Linked DNA regions of Macaca mulatta. The protein of the gene in region 3 purifies or fractionates together with the protein of the main gene of each other region. This does not show direct contact. Links are inferred from orthologs where the notes say so. Each region holds a gene or a part of one and is shown on either strand. Other genes may lie near its edges. The genes, in order: SF3B3, TFIP11, DHX15, SF3B6, SNRPA1, DDX5 and SF3B2.

What was found.
Region 1: the proteins of DHX15 (region 3) and SF3B3 purify together in Homo sapiens (co-immunoprecipitation; 4 studies listed by BioGRID and IntAct, with this or other methods). This does not show direct contact. The link is inferred for Macaca mulatta from reciprocal best matches to the Homo sapiens genes DHX15 and SF3B3.
Region 2: the proteins of DHX15 (region 3) and TFIP11 purify together in Homo sapiens (co-immunoprecipitation; 4 studies listed by BioGRID and IntAct, with this or other methods). This does not show direct contact. The link is inferred for Macaca mulatta from reciprocal best matches to the Homo sapiens genes DHX15 and TFIP11.
Region 4: the proteins of DHX15 (region 3) and SF3B6 fractionate together in Homo sapiens (co-fractionation; 3 studies listed by BioGRID and IntAct, with this or other methods). This does not show direct contact. The link is inferred for Macaca mulatta from reciprocal best matches to the Homo sapiens genes DHX15 and SF3B6.
Region 5: the proteins of DHX15 (region 3) and SNRPA1 fractionate together in Homo sapiens (co-fractionation; 3 studies listed by BioGRID and IntAct, with this or other methods). This does not show direct contact. The link is inferred for Macaca mulatta from reciprocal best matches to the Homo sapiens genes DHX15 and SNRPA1.
Region 6: the proteins of DHX15 (region 3) and DDX5 fractionate together in Homo sapiens (co-fractionation; 3 studies listed by BioGRID). This does not show direct contact. The link is inferred for Macaca mulatta from reciprocal best matches to the Homo sapiens genes DHX15 and DDX5.
Region 7: the proteins of DHX15 (region 3) and SF3B2 purify together in Homo sapiens (co-immunoprecipitation; 3 studies listed by BioGRID and IntAct, with this or other methods). This does not show direct contact. The link is inferred for Macaca mulatta from reciprocal best matches to the Homo sapiens genes DHX15 and SF3B2.

What each region holds. Positions count from the first base shown.
Region 1 is NC_133425.1:69,293,784-69,297,283, reverse strand, and holds part of SF3B3 (splicing factor 3B subunit 3), read left to right. Parts: intron 1-1,032; coding exon 1,033-1,184; intron 1,185-1,634; coding exon 1,635-1,790; intron 1,791-2,746; coding exon 2,747-2,902; intron 2,903-3,431; coding exon 3,432-3,500. UniProt on the Homo sapiens protein: Component of the 17S U2 SnRNP complex of the spliceosome, a large ribonucleoprotein complex that removes introns from transcribed pre-mRNAs.
Region 2 is NC_133415.1:25,062,731-25,066,372, reverse strand, and holds the end of TFIP11 (tuftelin-interacting protein 11), read right to left. Parts: intron 3,524-3,642; coding exon 3,381-3,523; intron 2,892-3,380; coding exon 2,726-2,891; intron 1,178-2,725; exon of another isoform or gene 933-1,177; coding exon 577-932; 3' UTR 501-576; downstream 1-500. Other genes in the region: SRRD (SRR1-like protein), read left to right, coding at 25-234. UniProt on the Homo sapiens protein: Involved in pre-mRNA splicing, specifically in spliceosome disassembly during late-stage splicing events. Intron turnover seems to proceed through reactions in two lariat-intron associated complexes termed Intron Large (IL) and Intron Small (IS).
Region 3 is NC_133410.1:23,574,618-23,578,117, reverse strand, and holds part of DHX15 (ATP-dependent RNA helicase DHX15), read left to right. Parts: intron 1-741; coding exon 742-901; intron 902-2,226; coding exon 2,227-2,445; intron 2,446-3,500.
Region 4 is NC_133418.1:100,972,796-100,975,724, forward strand, and holds the end of SF3B6 (splicing factor 3B subunit 6), read left to right. Parts: intron 1-1,858; coding exon 1,859-1,997; intron 1,998-2,160; coding exon 2,161-2,250; 3' UTR 2,251-2,429; downstream 2,430-2,929.
Region 5 is NC_133412.1:91,654,048-91,658,317, reverse strand, and holds the start of SNRPA1 (U2 small nuclear ribonucleoprotein A'), read left to right. Parts: upstream 1-1,470; 5' UTR 1,471-1,535; coding exon 1,536-1,617; intron 1,618-3,984; coding exon 3,985-4,132; intron 4,133-4,270. UniProt on the Homo sapiens protein: Involved in pre-mRNA splicing as component of the spliceosome. Associated with sn-RNP U2, where it contributes to the binding of stem loop IV of U2 snRNA.
Region 6 is NC_133421.1:74,403,430-74,407,614, reverse strand, and holds the start of DDX5 (probable ATP-dependent RNA helicase DDX5), read left to right. Parts: upstream 1-1,385; 5' UTR 1,386-1,615; coding exon 1,616-1,659; intron 1,660-1,681; exon of another isoform or gene 1,682-1,944; coding exon of another isoform or gene 1,945-1,988; intron 1,989-2,861; coding exon 2,862-3,027; intron 3,028-3,383; coding exon 3,384-3,480; intron 3,481-3,588; coding exon 3,589-3,722; intron 3,723-3,833; coding exon 3,834-3,899; intron 3,900-4,135; coding exon 4,136-4,185. Other genes in the region: CEP95 (centrosomal protein of 95 kDa), read right to left, coding at 594-612. UniProt on the Homo sapiens protein: Involved in the alternative regulation of pre-mRNA splicing; its RNA helicase activity is necessary for increasing tau exon 10 inclusion and occurs in a RBM4-dependent manner. Binds to the tau pre-mRNA in the stem-loop region downstream of exon 10.
Region 7 is NC_133419.1:8,360,864-8,365,103, forward strand, and holds the start of SF3B2 (splicing factor 3B subunit 2), read right to left. Parts: upstream 2,801-4,240; 5' UTR 2,776-2,800; coding exon 2,643-2,775; intron 2,488-2,642; coding exon 2,441-2,487; intron 2,134-2,440; coding exon 2,056-2,133; exon of another isoform or gene 1,934-2,055; intron 1,320-1,933; exon of another isoform or gene 1,191-1,319; intron 627-1,190; exon of another isoform or gene 571-626; intron 58-570; exon of another isoform or gene 46-57; coding exon of another isoform or gene 10-45; coding exon 1-9. UniProt on the Homo sapiens protein: Component of the 17S U2 SnRNP complex of the spliceosome, a large ribonucleoprotein complex that removes introns from transcribed pre-mRNAs.

The DNA.
Region 1 (3,500 bases), on a different chromosome or scaffold from region 3:
CCTTTTTTACCTGATTTCTGGGTAAGGGGGTGTTGATACAAAAATTCAAATGTAAAGGAGGAAAATCTCAACTCTTTTAAAAAATTAGCATGCCTTTAGTCAACATTTATCAAGCTTTATGCCAAACATGGTACTGGATGGGGACACTGGCAGAAGCTGTTGTATGTTGTAGGGTGAGATACATGGAAAATAGATGGCCTTTATGGGATCTGCAGAAGAAACTGAGGGTTTCTGGTATACCTCAAGTCGTCTGACTTCCTTGAGAAACTCGTTAGTGTTTATTCAACCACATTTAATTAGAAGAAGCAAATTCTAATAGGATTGCTCACGACCACACAATTGTTCTGTTTCTAAATAGTGAAAAACCAGACAGGTCAAGGAATAACAATATAAACAATCCCCACCCCCCATTTCCTGGTTATCTAGTTTTCTTACATCATTCTCACTGGGACTAGGATTCTCAGCTTCCAACCCTAGAATGAGTTAGTGTCACAGAGGCTTAAGTAATCTCTGTTTTATTAATTAGAGCTTATGTTCATTTCTACATAAGCTTCTTTTGGAAGAAGTTAGGGGTCTTTCCTAGTTAGAAGGAGTATCTCTTCTTAGGAAGGGGTTGTATGATTGACAACTGGCACAAATAAATGAAGCTCTAGCTATCTCTTCTTAGGAAGGGGTTGTATGATTGACAACTGGCACAAATAAATGAAGCTCTAGCTCAGTATGTTCATGTATCAACATTGTAGTATTTAAAATGTCCTCATGCCTCCGATTCCCTTGCTTTGTCCCTCTCACTTCTTTAGCAGATGTCTCAAGAAAACATTGAGGAAGCAGGGTATATCTGTAGGCTCTTATGACCCCTAGTTTTCTTCTGGATCATCTTGCTCTGTGTGCATGTGTATGTGTGTATGTGTGTAATAACTACGCATAGAAGAAGTGCCTTGGAAGGTTTCTGAAGAGAACTCTTAGTGTTTTATTTGGCTTTGTAATTCTGATGAGTTCTTATCTAACCAGCTCCCTTCTTTTCTTTTTCAGATGAGTTTGATGCCTACATCATTGTGTCTTTCGTGAATGCCACCCTGGTGTTGTCCATTGGAGAGACTGTAGAAGAAGTGACTGACTCTGGGTTCCTGGGGACCACCCCGACCTTGTCCTGCTCCTTATTAGGAGATGATGCCTTGGTGCAGGTGAGGGTTCTCAGAGCTTACCTACTTGGCCTGCTTTGTTCTTTCTTGGCCTTCATTGTGATGTGGCTGCTGTGTTCATGTCTCTTCACTCTCACCTTCCAGTAAGCCTTAGGGATGGAGCTTATGATTTTGGCACATAACATCCCCCTCTGTATTTGCCATTTTTCTGTTACAAAGCCACATCACTGCAGCTTTCATCTCTAGTAAAGATCTTTGTAAGTGTTTTGTTAATAAGCTTTGAACTTCTTTGAAGTGGACACCGCAAAACATTAACTATTTAAAAGTTGACCTTGCCTGGGGCCTGCTAACTCTTTTGTCATTGATTCAACTGGTTACTCAAATGCAGTGGCCCTACATCTGATTGTAGTGACAGATCTGATAGATGTGAGGGTCATTCTGAGTGATGAATCAAATTGTTAGAGTCAGGTTTCTTTCTGTTACTGACTCTAGGTCTATCCAGATGGCATTCGGCACATACGAGCAGACAAGAGAGTCAATGAGTGGAAGACCCCTGGAAAGAAAACAATTGTGAAGTGTGCAGTGAACCAGCGACAAGTGGTGATTGCCCTGACGGGAGGAGAGTTGGTCTATTTCGAGATGGATCCCGTATGTTATTTTATCATTCACTGTGGGACTTAGTGCAGGGTCCAGAGGGAAGGATGGGCATTGTAATCTAGTCATTTAGATGACAGTATGGTGAAACCCTGTCTCTACTAACAATACAAAAATTAATGGGCCTGGTGACACACACCTGTAGTCCTAGCTACTTAGGAGGCTAAGGCAGGAGAATTGCTTGAACCTGGGAGGCGGAGGTTGCAGTGAGCTGAGATCATGCCACTGCACTCCAGCCTGGCAACAGAGCGAGACTCCATCTCAAAAAAAAGAGAAAAAAAAGGGAGTTGGAGTGACAGTGTTCACAAACCAATTTGGCCCTTTACAGAGATGGGGAGAAAGGGTAAGTTGATGTCTAATTCTGGGTAGAGTTATGAATTCCCCTGTTAGCAACGAAACACTTGCTCCTCCTGCATTTCACTCCCTACTTTTCCAACAAATATTTGGCATAGAATTGATTTCTGCAGTCTGATTCCATTTCAGAAAACTTCTATATGGAAGAATGTTCAGTACACATAATTACCTTGCTCTCAGGAGGGCTCTAGTGTGGCCAGATTTGTAGCCTGACTGTACCTTTGGTTGAGATGTCTTTGTCTTCAACCATATTTGAATTCCCTTCACCCAAAGTATTCTTGTAAACACATAAACAGTTTTATATATCTCCATTTCCTGAGAGCAAAGTTGGCTAAGAAAATTTGTGGCACATTGACCTTGTTCATTCTCTTATTGATGGAAGATACTCATTTTGCTTGCTGTGAGCCTATTAAATTCAGTCTTGAGAACTCAGGTAGAGAAATTCTTGTCATTGATTATAGTAAGAGGAGTGAGAGTATGCAGAAGAAAATACAACAGCCGTCCTTCATTCTCTGGATCCAGGGTTTTGGGGTGAATTGGAGCATATAGACCCACCCCTTTGTAGTTTTGACCTCGCTCTGTCTTTCCTCTTATAGTCAGGACAGCTGAATGAGTACACAGAACGGAAGGAGATGTCAGCAGATGTGGTGTGCATGAGTCTGGCCAATGTACCCCCTGGAGAGCAGCGGTCTCGCTTCCTGGCTGTGGGGCTTGTGGACAACACTGTCAGAATAATCTCCCTGGACCCCTCAGTGAGTGACACTCTGAGCTTCAAGGATCATCTGGTTGGAACCTGAGCATCTGGCCCACTCCTGATGTCCATCTCTGAGATCAACTGGGTTAGACCCCAGAATCCATACCTGCTACTTCTCTTGTCATTGCAGTGTGTTCCAGGAGTTTCCTGCTGTGGTTTAAGGATATGATCTGAGACTACAGAAATGTTTCTTTGGCTTAAACCTCAACTCCCTTTTTTTAGTTAAAAACCGAGACTGCATAAATTTGACTTGCTGCAGGACCCTAGATGACTTTTCGGGAGGTGTGCTTTGCTTAATTACCTTTACCATTATCTTCTTTGACACAAGGAGGAAAGCATGATCTTCCTGAAGCTTATTCTGAGATTGGGTATAACTAATAACCCAATACTCTCTTAGAACTCACTCCCGGGGCTTTTTCTGTGCATAAGGAAGTACTTTTTCAATCCTAGAATTAGATTTCTCTGGGTATGTTTTTGTCCTAAAATTGTCATTTTCTGTGTTTTTATGATTTTTCTCTCCCTCTCAGGACTGTTTGCAACCTCTAAGCATGCAGGCTCTCCCAGCCCAGCCTGAGTCCTTGTGTATTGTGGAAATG
Region 2 (3,642 bases), on a different chromosome or scaffold from region 3:
TCACACTTGAATTTTTCTGCTCAGATTTTAAAAGGACTGGAGGAGCTTGAGTTTCCTCAGACTTCACAATACATGGACATATTTAATGACACCTCTGTCCACTGGTTCCCCATGCAAAAGCTAGAACAGCTCTCCACAGATATTTGGGAGTTTCAGGAAGAACCAGATTATCAGGACTGTGAGGACCTTGAAATCATCAGGAACAAGACAGAAGATCCTTCCACTACTGACTGAACTCACTGTGAGGTACTCAGTGTTGGCTGAGGTAGAAGCTGCCACCGGAGACTAAAGGGAAGGCTGCCATGGAGGAACTACAGAGAACTCCTTTGCCAGGAAAGAACATCAACTTGGCTGTCTTGTTTTGAGGACAATACCCCCCATGAGGACTTGGTATAAAGATTCCTGCACTGCTAAGTGGCATTGTCCCGCTTTACATGCTTCCCTCGTGACCTGGCCCAATGTGGAGTAGCTCCCGAGTAAAGAAGTTACGCTTTTGAAGGTGATCTAAAATACCGTTTATTCACAACACATCCCTCTCAGGGGCAAGTCTCTGGCTGGCTCTGGGCCTGCCACAGTTCACTTGGCCATGTCGATCAGGCTCTGCAGTGAGGTGGGCACCCATGTCTTCTCGCCCTGGACAAAGACCACTCCCCGGTCGATGTAGATCACAATGCGGCCAAAGGTGTAGAGCTGCTTCCCTTCGTGTCGCTTCCCAATGACGGGCATGAAGACAATGTTGTGCTCCTCAGCCTTGGTCTCAATGAGGTCCTTAAAGTTCATGGGCACAGAGCTGGCGGCCACGCCAATGCCCCTCTGGGCCATGTTCTCAGCCTCCCGCCTCTCCTGCATGGCCTCGTACTGGAAGTCCTTCCTCCGCTCCGTGTGGGTGAGATAGGCAATGTTCTCCCGCGCGCCTGGCTGCATGTAGGCACCTGAGAGATACAGGAGGACAGGGCAGTGAGGAGAGGTGTTTCCAGGTGTATGGAAGTTGACGCTGACTTGGCCCAGGTCTGGGTGTGCCAGAGTGTTTGTGACTCACTGAAGGGCAGTTCTGCCTCAAAGATACAACTTTGGAGGAAGTTTAGACAACTGGCCAGTATCACATAAAAACTGTTCAGAAGGTTTCTGGCTAGTATCTAGTAACCAAAGAGATTATTAAATATTCAACATTTAAAAATGAAGTATCTGCAAGGGATTTCTTCTTTCAGAGCTGGAAACAGCAGAGTCCTCAGCCACTCTCCTGTTTCCACCTTGCCCTGTAGAGTTTCCACTTCATACCACCAAAGAGGCAGCTTTTAGTACCTTGAAAATATAGGCCCACACTGGCTTTATTTTTAACCTACCCACACAGGCCCCACATCCTGAAAGGAGTTCACGTATATTTGAGGAGCTGAAATTGGTGTTTAAGGATAATACAAGACCATAAATGCTAAGTGCTCACTGAGGGGTATATACAGGGAAGAGTTTTGGAAACATGAGGCCAGGGGTAGCTAAGGAAGAGTTTTTAGAAAGAACTTGATAATTACGGAAGCAGAGAAGTATATTTGCCTTATTACTTAATCTCTGTTTTCACAGAATAGGCTATTTTTTCTTTTTTTCTTTTCTTTTCTTTTTTTTTTTTTTTTTTTTTGAGACCGAGTCTCTCTCTTGTCGCCTAGGCTGGAATGCAGTGCTTGTGATCTCCACCACTCACTACAACCTCCGCCTCCCAGGTTCAAGTGATTCTTCTGCCTCAGCCTCCTGAGTAGCTGGTGTTACAGGCATGTGCCACCACGCCCGGCTAATTTCTGCATTTTTAGTACAGATGGGGTTTCACCATGTTGTTCAGGCTGGTCTCAAACTCCTGACCTCGTGATTGACCCGCCTCGGCCTGCCATAGTGTTGGGATTAGAGGCATGAGCCACGGCGCCTGGCCTAGGCTAACTATTAAATAACAAGAATTAAAGACTCAGGAAATAGAAATTCTAGTTCTAACTGCCACCCTTTAACTATGTGACCTTGAACAGGCTCTTAGCCTCACTGGGCTTATCTGTGAAACAGACTAGATGATCCCATTTCAATGCTGTGAATCGGCTAATGAGCAACACTGGAGCACACGACTGGTTGAAATAGGCTCCCAAATGTAGAAACATAAACATACTTTCATTTACTTATGATCTAGGCAGAATGACTTGCCTAGAACTTGGGAATAGATATAGTACATGAAGAGTGAACTGCCGGTTTTTGACAACACAGACACCACCTATTGAAGGCTGCAAACAAGCATGAACTCAATCCCCCTTTTAGCCTATGAAGTAGATCTTACTGTTTAACAGGTCAAATGGGGCTGATGAAGGCTGAGCAATCACCAAGTGTAAGACCGTGTACCCAACTCCACACTGTAAGATGTGTGACCTGGGCAGCGGGTTCAGGGCTGAATGAGCCTTAAAAGGCCACACAGCACAGTGGTTAAGAGGGCGGGGCCTGGGGTTAGACTGACATCTGAATCCAGCTTAAGTCAGTCTCCTTAGGGAAGATGCCCCTCTCAGTCATGGTAGACCTGGGCAGTGGGTGCCAGCTGACCATGTACCCCAATCAGCAGGGTGAGAGTCTGTTGCTATGGGCAAAAGTGCGACCTAAGGTTTAGGCTGCCTACAGGAACCAGAAAACTCTGATTCTGTGTCATTTACATGTGTAAAATCTGAAACTCAGGGCCAGGACATCCAAAATGGGAATCCTCACTTACCAACATTGGAGGACACCGCCCGGTTCATGATATCAAGTGCCTCGTTAAATTTGTCCTTGACAGATGGATGTGCCAGCACTTGGTCTGAGAACATAGACTTCCAACCCAGGTACCACTTGGTGATCTCCTCATAATTTGGGCTGTTACTGAGCCAAGAGCACAGCACCTGCCAAAAAGAAAAATTACTTGCATCCATGGTGGCAACAAATGAAGGCAAGATTTCCGAAGGGGCCATTTGTTTTGTTTTGATCCTGGTCCTGCAGGCTAGTGACACCACTTTACAGGGATTTATAGTAGCTAAACAGTCTAGGACTTACGAATATGGATTTTGGAGTCAGCCTGGTAGCTAAAGTGCCCTTGCATGTAAACTCTCTGAGCTCCGCTTCCATGTCTACACGACAGGGATACCATAGCCCCTACCCCATAGGGTTGCTGCGAGGAGCTGAGATAAAGCAAATAAAGTGCTTGGAACAGCTTCTGATACGTAGCAAATGTCCAATAAATGGTGGCCACTATTAAGATGACCTAACTCATTCCTACCCTACCATGTAATTCATTTTTATTATGGAATTGTACCTACAGTCAGGCCTCGGCAGAAAATTAACTTAATCCCCACTCAGTTCCCTCCCCCAGAAAGCCAAGCAAAACAGTGTACCTGAAGCCACTTGGGGAAGAAGTGCTTTTCAAGAAGTCCCACCAGACTAGAGACAGAGATCATCCCTTCCCAGTCGATCACCCAATAGAATGCATCCATGTGCTGCTGGTGGGGGTTAATGACTAGCTCACCAAGACACATCCCTGGAAGAGAAACCCGGTCTATAAGGCACAGCTTTAGTACTGGCAAAGCCACAGAAGCACAAAGAGCAAAGATAATGTCCGTTTTCCTCTCAGGTCACAACAACCTCCACCTCCTGGGT
Region 3 (3,500 bases):
AACTGGAGTCCATATTAGCTGCCTTCACTTGAGCCATCCCTAACTAAGCCTGGTTTCCCTTTTTGGTTCATTGATCATTCTGACATCATTTGTTATTTGTCTTCCATTTATGTGTCAGCATTTCTTTAGTGTAGATGCTGCCCCTCAGTCCCACTTCTTTTATTAATAAATTCCTTTTGTGCATTAAGATTATTTTTTGGGGGTGGGAGGAGGATGGCAGACTCAAGCGCTGTCAGCCCTTTTGAACCAAGAGCCTGGTGTTAGCTTATTAAGTATAAGTAAGGAATTGTTAAGGCTTAACAAAAAATGTTTATTTGCATGTGGTAACATTTTAGTAGTGTGACATGAAGCAACTTAAAATGGTTTATTAGTTTGTTTTGTATGTTGAGTATTTGTATGTTTTTAAACGGTTTAAGAAATTGAAAATGATGAATTTTGCCTTGGCATTTGTGTGAAACCGTGTGATCGTTATGTTCCATAATCGGTCATAAAGTCTTCCCAGTACATTTCAGTATTATATTTTTCAAGAATTGATAATGCATATTGTGTTTGGTTGTATACTCTTAAAAAAGATTTTCTTGAAACTTAATTTTGCAATTGATCGTGAAACATTAGCACATTTGTTTGGGGCAGAAGTTTAGTTTTAATTTACCTAATGTCTTTGCATTTCATTTTTGTCACGAAGTTTGGTTTTAAAATGACCTAAAGGAACCTTTAACCAACATGTTCTTTGGAATATAGGTATATGACTGATGGGATGTTACTTCGTGAAGCTATGAATGATCCCCTCCTGGAGCGTTATGGTGTAATAATTCTTGATGAGGCTCATGAGAGGACACTGGCTACAGATATTCTAATGGGTGTTCTGAAGGAAGTTGTAAGACAGAGATCAGATTTAAAGGTGAAGTAATTTCTTCTCTCCATTTAATTATATATGTGTGTATATGGGCATAAAAATGGGGAATACATACTGATCAATAACCAACTGTAAGAAATCACCTGTAAAAGAAGGAACTAGTAAGTACCTTCTTGTTTTGTTTCTGCTTTGCTGTGTCTTCATTTTAGACTTTAAGTATATTTCTCCCCCTTTTTAGTAATGCATTTTTAAGCCAAATCTTCTCAATTTCTTACCCACCTAGTTCTTTTATAATCTAATAACATATATGTGTAACTGCGCTACTCACTCTACCCTTCATTAAGTACAGAGGCCCCCTTTACTTAAGGATCAAATCTTTGTTCCTCAGATCCATGTCCTTGTCTCATCACAAACACCCATTGTAACTTAATAGTGTTGGAGAGTGGAAATAACTATACATAGGACAGGCAGCTCCTTAGAAATGTAGTCGCTTACCCTAGTGTATTACTTCTTTTCTCCATACCGCATGTACCTTGGCCACTGTTACTATGTTGATTAAGGGCCTAAAACTATTTTTGACATTTTTGTCCCCCAAAGTCTATGAAGTTCACCTTTTTGCTGTGTTGTGTGTGTTTACTATTCATTAGAATGTAGACTCATCCCTTGTTGATATGTGTGTTATAGAAGGGTTCATAGCCTGGCAACAGAGCGAGACTTTATCTCAGAAACAAACAAACAAGGGTTCAGCACTGGCAAGAAAGATTCTGGGTCTTTAGAAAAAAAATTGAGACCCGAGCATGTTTTTGTTTATAAAAATTAGATCAATGCTTTAAAAAATATATTTAAAGAATAATGTGAGTACTGTCATTATTTATTAAACTTGCTGTGCTACCAAGGTTTTAGTGAGAACCTGAAAGTAGAAATTAAGAACTCTAGTGAAACATTTTAGGGAGGAACCTTCTTTTTATATCTGGTCCACTAATTTTTGTTTGTTTGTTTGCATTTTCTTTCTGTTTTTCCCTATTTGCAAAGTTTTGTTTTAATAATGGTAGCAGTAATTATCCTACGTATTAATGTTTTCTTTTACCAATCTGAATTACATACAATTTTATAAAATCTGATTTTTAAGGTATTTTATGAAGAAATACTGTAGTTTATGCATTTATTTTTTTTCTAGATTTTTTAAAATGTAAATAACTTTTACTATAGTTCAGCCATTATGTATTTGATTTTTCATTTACACTTTAAAAAAAGGTTTTCATGGGCTTTTTAATAGCTGATATATACATAGAATAGTGAATATTGCTATACTTTAAGACCGCATAAGAACCCTTGAAGACAGCTTCAAGTAATTTACTGTTTTCTTTCAGGTTATAGTTATGAGCGCTACTCTAGATGCAGGAAAATTCCAGATTTACTTTGATAACTGCCCTCTCTTAACTATTCCTGGGCGTACACATCCTGTTGAGATCTTTTATACTCCAGAACCAGAGAGAGATTATCTTGAAGCAGCAATTCGAACAGTTATCCAGATTCATATGTGTGAAGAGGAAGAGGGAGATCTTCTTCTTTTCTTAACTGGTCAAGAGGTATTGTTTTAATTTTCTTCATTATTTAGCTTTTGACATACTGTTTCTAATATGCAGCAACTTTAATCATAAGAACATGGCATGTTAATCATTTTATTTCAATGTTCTTCAACCTGATTATATTAATATGTAAAATATATAACCCCCTTTATCTGTATACTATAGGAATACTTTTATATACCACTAGAGTTTGTGTTATAGTTAATTATTTTAAGAGTGTTAAATGCTTTTGGAATTTTAAGATTTTGCAATTGCAGTTTAGGAGATCCGTGGGATACAATTGGTATTATGCTGAGGCATGAATTTGCATCATAGCTGCTTTGAAATCAGGTTATCCTCATACAGTTATTTAGCTTGTGAGTGAACTTGGGTGCCTATTCATCGTCAAAACACTTCAGTTTGGTTTTGTCTTCCCATATGCTCATGAAGGTTGGAAAGGATTACTAAAAGTTCTTAGTTAGAATTTACTTCATTTAAAATTGTATTCTCAGATGTAGCATTTCTAAGCTTATTTTCAATAGGGTGTTTATAGGTGTGCTTTGGAATTCTTGAATGGCTAAATAAATTCAGAAGCTATTTGGATAATACAAAGTTTTAAAAAGGCTTTTACGAAAGGGTTTTTCTTTTTCTTTTTTGGGGTGGAGAGGGAGGACAGAGTCTCTCTCTGTCACCCAGGCTGGGGTGCAGTGGCATGATTATCGGCTCACTGCAACCTCTGCCTCCCAGGTTCAAGTGATTCTCTTGCCTCAGCCTCCCAAGTAACTGGGCTCACAGGTGCCCACCATCACGCCTGGCTAGTTTTTTTATTTTTAATAGAGACAGGGTTTCACTATGTTGGCCAGGCTATTCTCGAACCCTGGACCTCAGGTGATCTGCCCTTCTCAGGCTCCCAAAGTGCTGGGATCATAGGTGCAAGCCACCACACCCAGCCCCAAAATGCTTTTCTGATGGCATATGAACAGCAATGGTGGTATTGAGACTGTTGGGATAATCATTTTGTCCTCCTGTGTCTGGTCTCTCTAGTTTCTCACTTCCTCCAAAGTGCATAGTGTATT
Region 4 (2,929 bases), on a different chromosome or scaffold from region 3:
CCTGGCCAACATGGCAAAACCCCATCTCTACTAAAAATACAAAAATTAGTCGGGCATGGTGGCGCACGCCTGCACGAGAATTGCTTGACTCTGTCTCAAAAAAATAAGAAAATAATGTTAGCTCAGTGTCCAATACGTGGTAGGTACAAATACATGCCTTTAAAAGTTCAAATTATAGTATGGCTCTCAAGGTGTGAGGTTGATAATTAGGGCTGGGAAACTTAAGATGGAGAGTCTTTAAAGTGGGGTTAGTGTCTATCCCTGTTCTAGTTCCTAAGAAGATATGAGAGGAAGAAAGAGAGTTGCTTTGTTTTGTTTTGAGCTTCCTGGACAAAGTGTGTGTGAGAGAATTGATAGGAGAAAGTAGATCTCTACTTTTCAAAGGCATATTAGCATCTGCCTTATGCATGGCACTAAAGGAGTGAATGAAGTACACATAAGATCACCTTTGCTCTTAAGGAACTGAAAATCTTGTTAAGTTTTTAAAAGTCAAAAGTCTGAAAGTTGTTAAGACTTCCCAGAGCCTAAAGAACATTCTAAAACCCCTTGTCAGGCCCACACAACCTGACAAAGTGAGCACATTCATCGACAGTGGCACCCTCCAATCACCCGCAGTACCCTATACCTTTTCAATTTTACAGGAAGCACAAGCTTGAGCAGGGCCCAGACTATAGTCCTGTCCTAGATCAAGTCTAGGCAGCTACCTCCTCTTCCCATGGCTCCACTGCTTTTACTCAACCCAATGTAGGGACTGTGGCAGATGGAGAGTCAGCCCACAGTCTTAAAGCTCATTCCACAGTAGTTGCACTGGGTAGTTGGAACACAGATGGAGGCAAGGGGGCCATCTTGTCACCTAGAGCCTGAACTGAGTGAGACCTCTACCCATTGTCTCCACTAACAGTCACATGGCCATCTGCTGCCTGCAGTTTAGTGTTCCATTGCTCCTCAAACCTCTCTACCTCTCCCAGAGGAAGTTGGTGAGGTGAAGGAAGGAAGTAGCCAGGAATACCTACACTAACAGCAACCCCGTATCCATGAGTAAAGTCAGCTTCCACTTCCAGCCACCGTCCAGCATTCTGCCCTGGCTCACAGATAACCCTGTCCACAAGCACACTTCCACTCCCATCTTCGCAGAAGCCTAGCCCTTCTCCTTAGCCACACAGCTGTATCATGCATTAGCATTTGAGTTGTATTAAAAATGAATGTAGACCGTTTGTGTTGGCCCATGCCTGTAATTCCAACACCTTGGGAGGGTGAGGCAGGCGGATCATGTGAGGTCAGGAGTTTGAGACCAGCCTGGGGAACATGACAAAACCCTGTCTCTACTAAAAATACAAAAATTAGCTGGGCTTGGTGGCACATGCCTGCAGTCCCAGCTACTTGGGAGGCTGAGGCACAAGAATCACTTGAGAGGCAGAGGTTGCAATGAGCTGAGATCATGCCACTTGCACTCTAGCCTAGGCAACAGAGTGAGATTCTATCTAAAAAAAAACAAAAACAAAACAAAACAAAGACATCGTAGAGCCAGTCAGGGTGGCAAGAGCACTTGTAGTCCCCACAACTCGCGAGGCTGTTCTGTGTAGTAGCTGTGTTCTTAGTATTCCTGATGTGACAGTCAGCTTGACCCATAGATATTTTACTTAAGATAAAAGCAAAAAGCTAAATTACCTAATTCAAGAAATTACAGGTTTATCCAGTATATCTATCCATGTTTATTTCCTCTAATGGTTTCAGGTTGATTTCAAAATACTTAACTAAAAACATATTTCAATTTACTGTTTTTAAAAGACAGTTCTGTAAGTCAACTATCAATGCTCGGTAAATGTATATCTTAATTAAATTTGATTTAACTCTCCAGGGGGAACACACCTGAAACTAGAGGAACAGCTTATGTGGTCTATGAGGACATCTTTGATGCCAAGAATGCATGTGATCACCTATCGGGATTCAATGTTTGTAACAGATACCTTGTGGTTTTGTACTATAATGCCAACAGGGTAAGTAAGTTCTCATTGTGTAGTGATCTCATTTGAGAATTAGTGTAGAACTGTACTGTGATGATATATGTCTACTGTGACTTTGTTTTTTGGCTAATGCTATTGATGAAATTCATTTGGCTATAGATTGGTAATTTAATTTTGGTGCTTACCACATTTCCAGGCATTTCAGAAGATGGACACAAAGAAAAAGGAGGAACAGTTGAAGCTTCTCAAGGAGAAATATGGCATCAACACAGATCCACCAAAATAAATGTTTTCTACATTTTCATTTTGGACTAAATCCCATGAATGACAATTTTCCACTTTTTTTTCCTTTTTAATTAATACTAAATATTGTGATTTCTAATTTGAGGTTCAACATGACCTACTTGAAACTTTGATACATATTAGAATACATTGTGTTAATAAACTTACAGCTTTTTGTGAAACACCTCAATCTTTTCTCTTGAACTTTCCCTTCCTGTTTGATACCAGGAAAAAACAGTCGAAGCTTATCAACAATTGTAGGTGCTCCTAGGGATTCTGTGCTTCTTGAGAACAGGACCTCTTAATGTAAATTCTTAATGCCTCCAGGGCCCAGTGCAATGCTTAGCCATCAAAGGAACTTGCTGTTTATTGAATGTCTATTAATAATTAAACCTTCATAACAACTCAGTAAAGATAGGTATTTGCATTTTGCAGGTGAGGAAACCAAAGCTCATGATGTTGGTTGAATGAATAAAATGCTAACATACAAAGCTGGTGTGATAACAACCAGTTATTAACCAAGCCTTTACATGTGAATAATGCTTGCTTTATAGTTAACAAAACACCTTTGTCAATATGGGTACCCTTGTCTTTAGAACAGAGGTCTGTTATAGAAATGGTCACTTAGATGATAGTACATTGTTAGAAACTTAGATTTGCCTCTTTAAATTTTTTAAAAAATT
Region 5 (4,270 bases), on a different chromosome or scaffold from region 3:
GCACCACTGCACTCTGGCCTAGGTGACAAAGCGAGACCCTGTCTTAAAAAAAAAAAAAAAAAATTCTAATCAAACAACACCATTAAGAGTGAAAAGGCAAGCCACAGCGTGTGTTCATATGCCTAATATATAAAGAAATTCCAAGAATCAATAAGAAAAAAGGCAGACAACTCCATAAGGAAAAAAATGAGCCAAGGACTCGAAAGAACACTTCACAAAGGAAGCTATCAGAATGGGCACCATACACATGAGAAAGTTCTCAGCTTCATTAGTTATTAGAGAAAAGCAAAGCAGTAGTGCAATACCACCACACACCCATCAGAATAGCTAAAGTTATAGACTTAAAATGCAAACAAGCCTGAAGCTGGAAGCCATGAAAACCCTTACACACCGCTGGAGTGTGTATATTATTTCAGCCTCTTAGTATAACTGTTGGGCATTACTTATTGATGATAGATATAATACCCTATGTCCCAGCAATTCCACTCCAGGAAAAACTCATGCAAATGTGCATCAGATCCACGTACCAGAAAATTCATAGCAGCATTACTCAGAATAGCCCTAAACAGAAAACAACTTTGATGTCCATCAACAGCAGAATAAGTAATTTATGGTATAATATATACAATGGAACTCTCTTCAGCAGCGAAAGCAAACAAACCATCTCTGTAGGCAACCTGGATGGACTCCAGACATAATATAGACTCAAAGAAACTAGGCCAAAAAAAGCATACTGCATGATTCTATTTATATCAAAAGCAAGCAAAACGAATCTGTAGTGTTGAGTTCGCGGTTGCCTTTGGGAAAGAGGAAGGCTTTCAGAATAGTGGTTTTTTGGATCTCGGTGTCGGCTAAGCAGTTGTGTTCACTCTGGTCATTAATCACGCTGTAAATTCATCATATGCACACTTTTCTGTATATCATACTTCATATGAATATTCAGAAGTCTAAAGGCCACAAGCTTAACCGCAAACCCTACCATGCCCTAGGCCAGGTTGGACTTGCGGAGCTGTGGGGTTGTCCCGGCGACCTGCCCCAGGCGGGCCACCTAGCCCGGGATCTCACACTGTAACCCGGAGCCAAGGCCCAGGCCCAGGCCCAGGACGGGTACCTGAACTCCTGGACCCTTCACTGAACCCCACGGGTCCCCGCGCCGGCTGGTGGAGGGAGAGCAGTCACAGCTTCCCGTCCCACCTCAAGGTGCGCTAATGCATGAAAAAGTTCCCCTCGGATGTTTCCACATTCGCCTTAACTTTTAAACACCAACGTCTGGAATCATAGGTTCTCCAGACTCCAAACACACCCCAGGAAAGAACCCAGAACCAGACACAGCCCCTGCGCGCCCGGCAAGACTTCCGGCAAGAACGACCCCGAAGGCGTGGCTCTTCCATTGCTTCGGCCTGGCGGGCGAGCTGCGCGCGCACTCGGGGGCTGCGATTGGTGCTGCCTGGCGGTGGGGCGCGGGGCACGCTGGGACGTCTCGCTGGCGGGAGGCCACGGGCTTTCCACGGCGCGAGGAGACGGGAGGCAGCAGGATGGTCAAGCTGACGGCGGAGCTGATCGAGCAGGCGGCGCAGTACACCAACGCGGTGCGCGACCGGGAGCTGGACCTCCGAGGTGAGTCCGAGGGCGTGGGCGGCCAGCCCCCGGGCGGCACCGCGTCGCCTTATTATCCGCGCTCTGCCGCGTGCACCGAAGGCCGGAGCTTGGCCCGCGGGCCGGTTGTCTGGGCTCCGACCGGGCTGCGCAGGGAACGCGGGGCCTGATTCTTGCCGTTGTTGCCAAATGAGCATCCCGTTAGGCTCTTGGAGCCTTCTCTTACCGCCGTGCCTCTTGACAGGCACGAGTGACTTCATTACTTCCTGGTGCATACTCGTGGGGCTCTATTAGGCCTTGCTTGGCTGTTTCGCAGTTGGCTCTGTTTGAGGGCCCGGAAGAGCGGCTCGTTAATGGTTGTAACGCTAGTGCAGGGCGAGTGATTGGTTCTTAATACTTGCCGCCAGACGATATTTTGAGCGTAGATGGGATATGTGTTCGTTGTTCCTAATGTGAGGGAGGAAACCAAGTCCCCGAACAACAGCGATTGTTTCCCCCAGTATTTTCTACTTAGTACCTTTGTCTGGCGTTTCCCCTTTATGAAGACGTTTTAAAAATTGAACTGTGTGACCCAGGTTTGCACAGCCCTGTGCTGTGTGTAAGTTGTGGAAGCGCTCGCAATTATTCAGATTCCTGTACTATTTCAACCTTAGCAAGACTTGGTAAGATATTGGGAGGGCAGCTAGCTAGTTGGCATTTCAGGAGACGACTTTAAAAAGGATGTGAAGAGCAACTTCTCTGGGGATAAGACCATGCAGCCGTAGCCTGAGATTTGTTCCCACGGGGACCTATGGCTTTGGAGCAGCATCGCTGCGGGATCTGCTTAGATTTCTTGCTGACCTTTGGGAAATCCCGTTGTGTTGTGTTGTGTGTTGTGTTCTGCTTAGATTTCTTGCTGACCTTTGGGAAATCCCGTTGTGTTGTGTTGTGTTGTGTTGTGTTGTGTTGTGTTGTGATGGAGTCTCGCTCTTTCACCCCAGCTGGCGTGCAGTGGTGTGGTCTCGCCTCACTGCAACCTCCACCTCCCCGGTTCAAGTGATTCCTGTGCCTCAAGCCTCCCGAGTTGTTGGGATTACAGGCGTGAGCCACCACGCCTGGCTGATTTTTGTATTTTTAGTAGAGACGGGGTTTCGCCATGTTAGTCAGGCTAGTCTCGAATTCCTGACCTCAGGTGATCCGCCTCCGCCGGCCTCCCAGAGTGCTGGGATTAAGACGTGAACCACTGCGCTCGGCCCCCAGTATTTTTATTTTGTTGAAATTAAGTTTGTTAGAGAAAGGTTCAGTTCAAGAGCAACTCACCACTTTTTTTTTTTTTTTTTTTTTTTTTTGAGACGGAGTTTCGCTGTTGTTGCCCAGGCTAGAGTGCAATGGCGCGATGTCAGCTCACTGCAACCTCTGCCTCCCGGGTTCAAGCGATTCTCCTGCCTCAACCTCCCGAGTAGCTGGGATTACAGGCCTGCGCCATCACGCCCGGCTAATTTTGTATTTTTAGTAAAGACAGGGTTTCTCCATGTTGGTCAGGGTGGTCTCGAACTCCCGACCTCAGGTGATCCGTCCTCCGCGGTCTCCCAAAGTGCTGGGATTACAGGCTTGAGCCATTGCGCCCGGCCCAACTCACCACTTTTGATGATCTCTGCCATTTCTCTTTATGGAGTACGTGCAATATTGAGAATACATATTTTGATGCAATACGTGTAGTATAGCTCTGAATTGTGCCCTTTAACTTTGGGTGAATTCTTTTTTAGTAGACCTTGCTTCTTCAGAATATTTCTTTTCTTATAGTGCCTAACACAGTAATTATGCTCAAATTGGACAAATTAACATTTGAGTGTTCACAGGTTTATTACTCTATGTAAACCATTGAGTTCTTCAACTCTAAATTGTAGCTGGGGGAGGGGAGGGAGAACTGTCATATCTTGAGGCTGTTCTGATGGGTTCTAAGAATCTGGCCCGTGGAGATGCAAGAGTGGAGAACTGTTATCCACAATGTTTGAACGCTGTTTGGGCACTGAGACTAAGCAGCTCAAAGTGTAAATTCCTGTTGTGCGGATTCCGCTTAACTAGCCCAAATGACTTAGAACAGTGTGAGGCACCTTGTAAATGTTCTTATAAATGTTAGCTACCTATATCACCCATTATTATTGTTCTTGTCCTTGTTGTCATTAGATTGTAAGCTTCATGGCACTGGGTACTTGAGACTCGTTCAGCATTTTCTCTCTAGTATCTTGTACAGTGGCAAGGCATGTATGACATGGCATAGGTGCTAGGTAATGCTTCCTGAATAAATCAAAGCCTGGAATCAGATACTATGAAATACTGCTAATGTTTTAAGGGGCTGTTTAGTTATATTAATACCTCTTGTGTGTTTTTTTTTCCTCCATTTTACAGGGTATAAAATTCCCGTCATTGAAAATCTAGGTGCTACATTAGACCAGTTTGATGCTATTGATTTTTCTGACAATGAGATCAGGAAACTGGATGGTTTTCCTTTGTTGAGAAGACTGAAAACATTGTTAGTGAACAACAACAGAATATGGTAAGTGCCTATAGGGGAAAGTAATTTTTTCCCCCTAGGGTAAATGTTGCAGTGTTCCCTGAAGAAGCTGTAGCACGTACTACCGGTTAAACCTACATGGTTTTTTTAATTTAATTTTTATATTTTTAAAAAATATTT
Region 6 (4,185 bases), on a different chromosome or scaffold from region 3:
CTCCAAGCCCATTTCTCACAACTGGCCAAACCATGACAACTGGTTTGTACGCAGTCCTAGTGAAAAGGATGAAAGCGTCCTAGACAACCAAATTAATTCGCTCTTCAAAAGCGGTGCTAGACAAAGCCCATGACTCTAGAGGGCACTGAAGAGAAAAAAGCACCACTATTCTTCTGTGGCAGGGGCATGAATAAACCTTAAGAGTGCCGTTCCTTTAAAGACCACTACAAAAGGAGGTACGACCTCAGGGCCCATAGTGCAAGGGAGGAGGGCACATGGACAGCGGCTAGACGCCCCACAGAAAGACAAGTCCGAGGACGACCCTTCTGACTGCTCTTTTTGCAGCCAGGACCCGAGCGTCCTACCGGCCTCGCCCCAGTGCCTCTCTCCCACCTCATACTGCTGTTCCACGGCCTCAAAGCGAAGAGGGGGTGAAGCTGAGAGACCCTATCCAGAGAACCCGCCACCGCGACGCAGCGTCTGACAGTAACGAGCCCCGCCGACACCCCAGACCCAGTCCGGGCTAGCCCGAGGCCTCCCTGAAGGTGGACAGTTTCAGTAAACACACACCGCGACCCCAGGGAAACACTCACCAGCCTCCGAGCGGGCCATGTCTCGGAAGCAGGTCGCCGCCGGACTCCGACGCTGCCAGACCGGCGACGGTGTCCTGCAAGGACCGAACGCAGAGCAGACGCTGGGGGGCGGGCGCACGAACTAAAGCGCGGGGAAGGAGGCGTGAAAGAGGGAGGGACGTTAAAAGAACTTCTCGCCGCTGATTGGTCATCAGAGGAGCACTTCCTTTCACAGCACGTGCCACGGAAGCGGTTTGGGAAGTTTAGAGACCATTCTCCGCCGGCCAAAACCCGTCACAGGATTGTCAGACCCGTGGGTCGGACGGTCCAAGTTAGCCGGCAGCTGGGGGCGGGTCCCGGGTGCTGGCAGCGCACTTCCGGTGAGCTATTTCGTTATGTATCCCTCCGCCGACGTCAACGGGGAAGTAGTGCGGCCCCCTGTCACGGTGGGCGGTGGGGGGGTAACGTCACGTGACAACGCCAGGCCCCCGCCTTCCCTCTCATTTGGTTACAGGCGTGAGGGCTCTTTGGAGACGTAAACACCTCCGAGTGGGGAGGGTGGGCGGGCTTGGGCTGGCTGTTTTATCGTCTGGCTGGGCTTGGGAAAGGGCAGGGTGGCTTTCTTGAGGTGTGGAAAGACGAGAAGAAGGTGAGGTCAAGAGAGTGGAGAATGAGGCATTTCAATGGTGGGTGGGCCCTGACCTGAGAGAGCGGCACGGGGTGGGGTGAAAGCGCGGCGATCGCGGAACGCCGGCGGGCGTTGCGGCCTCTGCGCGAGGGGCGGGGCGATTAGGTCATAGAGCGGCTCCCAGCGTGCCTTGCGGCGTAGGAGGAGGTCCAGACTATAAAAGCGGCTGCCGGAAAGCGGCCGGCACCTCATTCATTTCCACCGGTCTCTAGGTGTGCAGCTTTGGCTGGTGTCATCGCCGTCACTCCTCCGCTGCCGCCCCCGCAAGGCTTCGCCGTCGCCGAAGCCATTTCCAGCGACTCGTCGCACCCTTTTCTATCTACTTCGTTCCCCGCCAACCGCAACCATTGACGCTATGTCGGGTTATTCGAGTGACCGAGACCGCGGCCGGGATCGAGGGTGAGTGTGGGAGCCGAGTTGTCAGGGCTGGCGGGTGGGGGATGGGAGGGCGGGTCAGGGTGGCGGCGGGCCGGGGCTTTGCGGCTTGGACTCGGCCTTTCCGGGCTATCTTGGGGCCTCCTTTCCCGAAGGCTTGCGCCATTTTGATATTCACGTAACAGTGAGTGGGAGAGATTTGACGGGATAGTGTCTTCATCCTCGCTTTTTGTGTGGGGGTCGGGGAGCCGTCGGGGCGGCTGCCATTTGGTAGCTGTTGAGGGAATTCAGAGGGAGCGCATTGTTCGGATGAAAGCGCGACGCTTCGAGGCAGACGAAGGAACAGCTGTTAGGTGCGGCCTTTCGGGAGGTGTTTTTGGGGTGGTCGGGCATTCTGTGGGAGCGAAGGGACCACCTCCAAAGCCACTGGTGCTGTGGGGGTAGGAGGGCGGCCGGCATCAGCCATGTGGCTGAGTCGCGGGTATAAAATGCCGGCCTTGGACATGGCGGCGGCGCCTTTGTTACTCCGCCCGGCGGAGGAGCTCAAAATGGCAGCGTCGAGAAAATGTGGCGCAGAGAGAAATGCGAGACAAAGGGGGAAGCGCCGCCCCAGCGGGAACGCCGCCCGGCCGGCTCCGCCCGGGCCGGGACTCCTCCCCCGGTAGTCGCCGGCTCCTCCTTTTCTTTTTTCCTGCGTTATATAATTTTAATTCGTTGATCCGGAGCTCTACCGCGGCGTCCCCCCAGCTCGGTTTGCTAGCAGAAGTGTTTCTAAACCGTTGTTTCGTTTTCGTTGTCTGTGCTGTCTAGATTGTTGACATCAAAGCTCTTTGGCTTGAAAACGGCCATATGAGTAACATCGTTGTGATGCTCTTCGGTTCATGTAGGCTTGTTATCACTGATAATGAATTGCTAGACTGGTGAGAAAGATAATAGTAACCACAAGAAGTGGTGTGTAATACTAAATTCTGGCATCTGGGTGACAAGTTTTCGATATAGTAAATCCCAGGCTGTTTACGTGGCCTAAGTTGTGTGTACTTGGGACTACGGGAAACGTTAACTGTGGCTGTTGAGAGAGAGATTATCACTAAGGACAGTGCTAGGTTTACCTCTCGAAGTCGGCTTTCAGTGATCTTTAGCTTGTGCCAAGGGATGGTAAACAAATCTGTCCAGAAACCTAGGTGTAGCCATTTGAAAATGTAAATAACTTTTTTTCTTCATTCCAGGTTTGGTGCACCTCGATTTGGAGGAAGTAGGGCGGGGCCCTTATCTGGAAAGAAGTTTGGAAACCCTGGGGAGAAACTAGTTAAAAAGAAGTGGAATCTTGATGAGCTGCCCAAGTTTGAGAAGAATTTCTATCAAGAGCACCCTGATTTGGCTAGGCGGACAGCAGTGAGTAAATTCATGTGGCTTCATCAGGCTGTAACTCAATGGAGTCTAGTAAATGAAATTCTGACAGGTGTTTTGCAAATAACTCAATTTTGGTAGAGTTACGTTTTCTGACTTCGTAATTGGGAAAGGTGTGACTCACTTTTGCAAATAGGTGGCTTTGGGAATTTTTTTTTTTTAGATTGAGTATAGCAGAATAAACGGTTTTTTTGTCATATAGGGTTTTCATACGCGGTTCCAGATTAAAATGAAGCTACTTTAAACTAGTTACTAAATTATGAAGTTACGGGCTTGCCAATTACGTATTTAGTTAGGGGTGGTTGTCATGAGCTTTAAGACTGTTATAATTTGTTTTGCAGCAAGAGGTGGAAACATACAGAAGAAGCAAGGAAATTACAGTTAGAGGTCACAACTGCCCGAAGCCAGTTCTAAATTTTTATGAAGCTAATTTCCCTGGTGAGTGCTACTTTTCAGTTCTACCCTACCCCTGTGTTTTTGTTTTCACCTACCTCCTCCTTTCCTTGGCATCACTAATTTTTGTTAAATATCTGTCACTAATTATAGCAAATGTCATGGATGTTATTGCAAGACAGAATTTCACTGAACCCACTGCTATTCAAGCTCAGGGATGGCCAGTTGCTCTAAGTGGATTGGATATGGTTGGAGTGGCACAGACTGGATCTGGGAAAACATTGTCTGTAAGTTTGAGAGAACTCTTGATGTAATATGTGCAAGAAAACGGAATGCTAATTTAAAAACAAGAGTATTTTAATGTGATTTCTGTTTGTCCCCGTCTTCACCCCAAATAGTATTTGCTTCCTGCCATTGTCCACATCAATCATCAGCCATTCCTAGAGAGAGGCGATGGGCCCATTGTAAGTATATATTTTTAACTTTTTATTAGAAGTGTAATATATAGATTTTTAGACTACATAGCAAAAGATGTAATTATTTGTGGTGGTTTTATACAGAGGTTAGCTCACCCTATTCAGCTGGAGTTGCTTTGGGTATTGGACAACACATGAAGAAAGGATCTGCCATCATAACTAATAAGTTAATAGTTTAAAACTAGTATCCAGGTTTGTGCTGAAAGCTGTTTCTCTTTCCTTAGTGTTTGGTGCTGGCACCAACTCGGGAACTGGCCCAACAGGTGCAGCAAGT
Region 7 (4,240 bases), on a different chromosome or scaffold from region 3:
TCCAGGGAGCTGTGGAGAAAATATGATCATAAAATTAGGAAACATTTATCTACTCATCTGCACATATCTGGGGGATCTACTTTGAGTCAGGAGCTGGGATTCTAAGTCAAATGACACATAGTTCCTAATTCGTAAGAGAGAATGCTCCATAGCCCTATAAAGATATGAGAATGTTAACTTCCGGCACCAACCACAATAAGCTATCCACTCTCTCCAGAAAGATATCCTGAATACAGACTCTGCATACAATTCCAGGAGACTCAAAGACACCTCTGAGGCCATCTAGGGACTCCTCATTCTACACACAGAAATCAATAGATCCTAGGTCAGAGCCACTGCTTTAGAGAAAAAGAAGCAAATCCTGGATCAGAAGCAACATGGAAATTGAGAGGACTTAAATAAACAGGAACCACTGTACCAGGGCAATGCAAACCCCAATGACTGCTAAATGCAAGGAGTATGAAATCAAATCAGGGAGCTCTCAATGTCTCACAAAAGAACATGGGAACTGTTCCTGGGGCAGGCAAAGAAGAGGGTGATTGCTTCCAGCTGGGTAGGGACAAGTCGGGCTTCCTTGTATTCAAGCTGTTTTGTTTTTTGTTTTTTGTTTTTTTTTGAGATAGAGTCTGTCACCCAGGCTGGAACGCAATGGTGCAATCTCAGCTCACTGCAACCTTTGCTTTCCAGGTTCAAGCAATTCTCGTGCTTCAGCCTCCCAAGTAGCTGGGATTACAGGCGCCTGCCACGATGCCCGGCTAATTTTTGTATTTTTAGGAAAGACGAGGTTTCACTATGTTGGCCAGACTGGTCTCAAACTCATGACCTCAAGTGATTGCCCGCCTCGGCCTCCCAAAGTGCTGGGATTACAGGCGTGAGCCACCACGCCCTGCCTCTCTCTTTTTTTTTTTTTTTTTTGAGACAGTCTTGCTCTATCGCCCAGGCTGGAGTGCAGTGGCCTGATCTCGGCTCACTGGCTCACTGCAACCTCCGCCTCCTGGGTTCAAGAGATTCTCCTGCCTCAGCCTCCCAAGTAGCTGGGATTACAGACATGTGCCACCACGCCCAGCTAATTTTTGTATTTTTAGTAGAGACAGTTTCACCATGTTGGCCAGGCTGGTTTCAAACTCCTGATCACAGGCGATCCACCCGCCTTGGCCTCCCAAAGTGCTGAGATTACAGACATGAGCCACCATCCCCTGCCTCTTTTTTTTCCCCCTATTTTTTTATTTTATTTTATTTTATTGTAAGTTCTGGGGCACACGTGCAGGATGTGCAGGTTTGTTACATTGGTAAATGTGTGCCATGGTGGTTTGCTGCACCTATCAACCCACTGCCTAGGTATTAATTCTGGCGTGCATTTGCTATTTTTCCTGACAATCTCCCAGCCCCTGCCCCATCACCCCCCAACCTTTTTTTTTTTTTTTTTTCAGAGAAGTAAAGTCTCATTCTGTCACCCAGGATGGAGTACATGGAGTACAGTGGCGCAACCAGAGCTCATTGCAGCCTTGAACCTCAGGGCTCAAGCAATCCTTGAGCCTCAGCTTAGACAGTAGCTTGGACTTTATAGGCATGTGCTGCCGTGCCCAGCTAATTTTTAAAAATTTTTTGTAGTAACAAGAGTCTCACTGTGTTGCCCAGGCTGGTCTCGAACCCTGGCTTCAAGTGATCCTCCCATCTAAGCATCCCAAAGTGGTGGGATTACGGGCATGTGCCACTGCACCTGGCCACAAGCTGAATCTTGAATGACAGGTAGAATTTGGAGAAGCAGACAGTGGAAAAGGAGGCAAGTATCAGCATCAAAGAGAGAACTGAAGAGCTCACAATTCTGTCATGGCAGTACCTCCTTGCCCAGTCAGTCAGTTGCATCTCAAGTACACTGCAATTGAGAGGAAGGGCTACCCTGAACAGATGGAATCTTTCTATTCCCCACTCAGGTCAGGCGAGATGTGCAAGGGTGTGACGTCTCACACATGCACGCGAACACCGAATCATCATGCTCATGAACTACAAAAGGATCAGCAGATAGAATCTTAAAAAATGGAAGAACCTCCCTACCTGCGCTGACATGGGAGGTGGAGCGGCTTTGTCCCCATCTTCCCCTCTCAAAACCGGCCGATTCAGCACGATGCCAGTCTGCAAAAGAGAAAGGACTCTAGGTCAGTCCAAAACTAGCTGTTTCACTAATCGACGATCTCTCCCAATTCATTTAACAAAACGTATCCAGTGCCTGTCTGCCAGCGCTCCGGCTGGGCACTGAAGAGGACCAAGATGGATACAAGAAATTACAACTAAGCTGGCAAAGGCAAGAACAAGCCAAAAAGGGCAAGCCTCCGCCTTGCTGTGCCAAGATAAAGAAAGAATGAAGACCGAGCCGTGATGGGGTATATAAGGTCTCCTGGAGAAGCTCGGCCTATCCTGACGTCCCGCCGCCAACACCTACCTGGCGGGTGTAGGTCTGCAGCCGCTCCACCAGCTCCTCGCGATTACCTGCGGGGCAAAGTACACGATCAATGGAGCAGGCAAGCCCGGCCAGGTCAGACCCCAGCTGCCCGCCTCCGCCCCTCGCGCCCGGGTCTCCCGGGTAACCAGGCTCCGCTTCTCCGCAGGCCCGTAAAGGTCCCTCGACTTTCTGTGTTCCTCACCCTGGATCGGAGCTCCGATCTCTGCCAACTTGGCCTGAAGCTCCTGGGCAGCCCAGGCGCCATAGTGGCCTGGAGGTGGCGGCGGCGGCAGCTGCAATTCCGCTTTGGGAGGCTCGGGATGCTCGGACGCCATCTTGGCCGCAGCAAGGCGCGCGACCAACCCGGAAGCTCGGGCCGGCCTCTGGGCCCACTTTCCGGAACTTCCGGCGGCGCCGTACGCCACGTCCTCTCTGGTTGGGAGGCGACGCGCACGGAGGCCCACCCGCTGCGGTACGCTAGGCGACGGGATTCGCCGCAGACGCCCCTTTCTCCAGTGGCCCCTCGGCCGTCTGGTCGCTAGGCCTCCTGGGAGTTGTAGTGCGCAGGTCTCGGTCTCTGCGGGCCCTGCGCCAGGCTACGGCCCAGAAGGCCGGCGGCGGGCCGGAGGGCGGGGCTGCGGGGAAGGCTGGCCCTGCCCGGAGGGAGTGTTTTCTGCGCCTCACCTGCGGGAGCGCAGGCTGTCAAGCCTTCCGGCCCGGCTCCCCGGTCAGAGCCTCGGACTCTTACGCTCCCAGGGAGTCCCGAGAGACTCATTTCCCCGGCGGCTCCGCGTTGCGGGCGCCAAGCGGGAGGCTGGAGCCAATGCCCGGGATAAAACAGTGTCTGATTGTCTGCCCGCCCACCCCCGGCCCAGGCCCGGATGAATGGGCTGAAAGGGGATCCGAGCCAGGAGAGGAGCGGGCCCGCCCGGGCTGAGCTCCAGCTGCCGACCTGGGGGAAGGGCGACACTAAAGCCCCCTTTTCCACCTTCCAAGCCGGCTCAAATGTCGTCTTCACTAAGCTTTCTCCCGCTTTCCTTTCCTTTCTTAGAGTTCCCATAATACATTCGAATCTCCACCGTTTGATAAGTCTTTCTTGCCCTTTCTTCCTACCTGCATCCCAAAAATGTGAGCAGGGACTTGATCTTTTTCAGTCTCGCATCACCTGCCGTTCAAGAGGCGCCCAATAAATGATTACTGGGAAAAAGGAACAATGTTTCTGGTGACAGTATTTGTGTCTTTTAGTCTCAAAAATAAACTCAGGCCCCTTTTCCCTCAGCCGCACCTGCACTGGGGGCCCACCTTGCCGCCCACTCCCCACCCCAACTCCCCGTGGTCTTTGGGGACAGAGGCAGATACTGGCAGGGATTCTTGCCTGCCTAGCATCCACCTCTCGCTGTCCCACACCATCAATTCAATTTCTCTCCCCACCTCTGCCACTAGCTCTGCCCTGTCACTAACAGCCAGGCTCACTGTGTGTGTTTTTATGTGTATTGAGTACGGGAATGGGGAGACTTCAGTGAAATGGTCTCATTTTCCCCCAAACATCCCCTTCAGATCTTTTCTCCAGCTCCATTTTGCCAACTGCCCCCCGTGGAGAAGAAGCTGGGAACAGGGGAAAAAAGAATGGGGCACCAGGTCTGGGGAAGGTGAGGTTTGGGAGAGACAGGGAAAAGGATTGGGTTGAGAAAGGTTGGCTCACATCCTAGCACTGGGTGGGAAGTCCTCTTCCTCCTACCCAAACCTTGACCTTTCCCCTTTGCATCAATATCACTATGGCAGGCTCCTGCTGCCACTCCC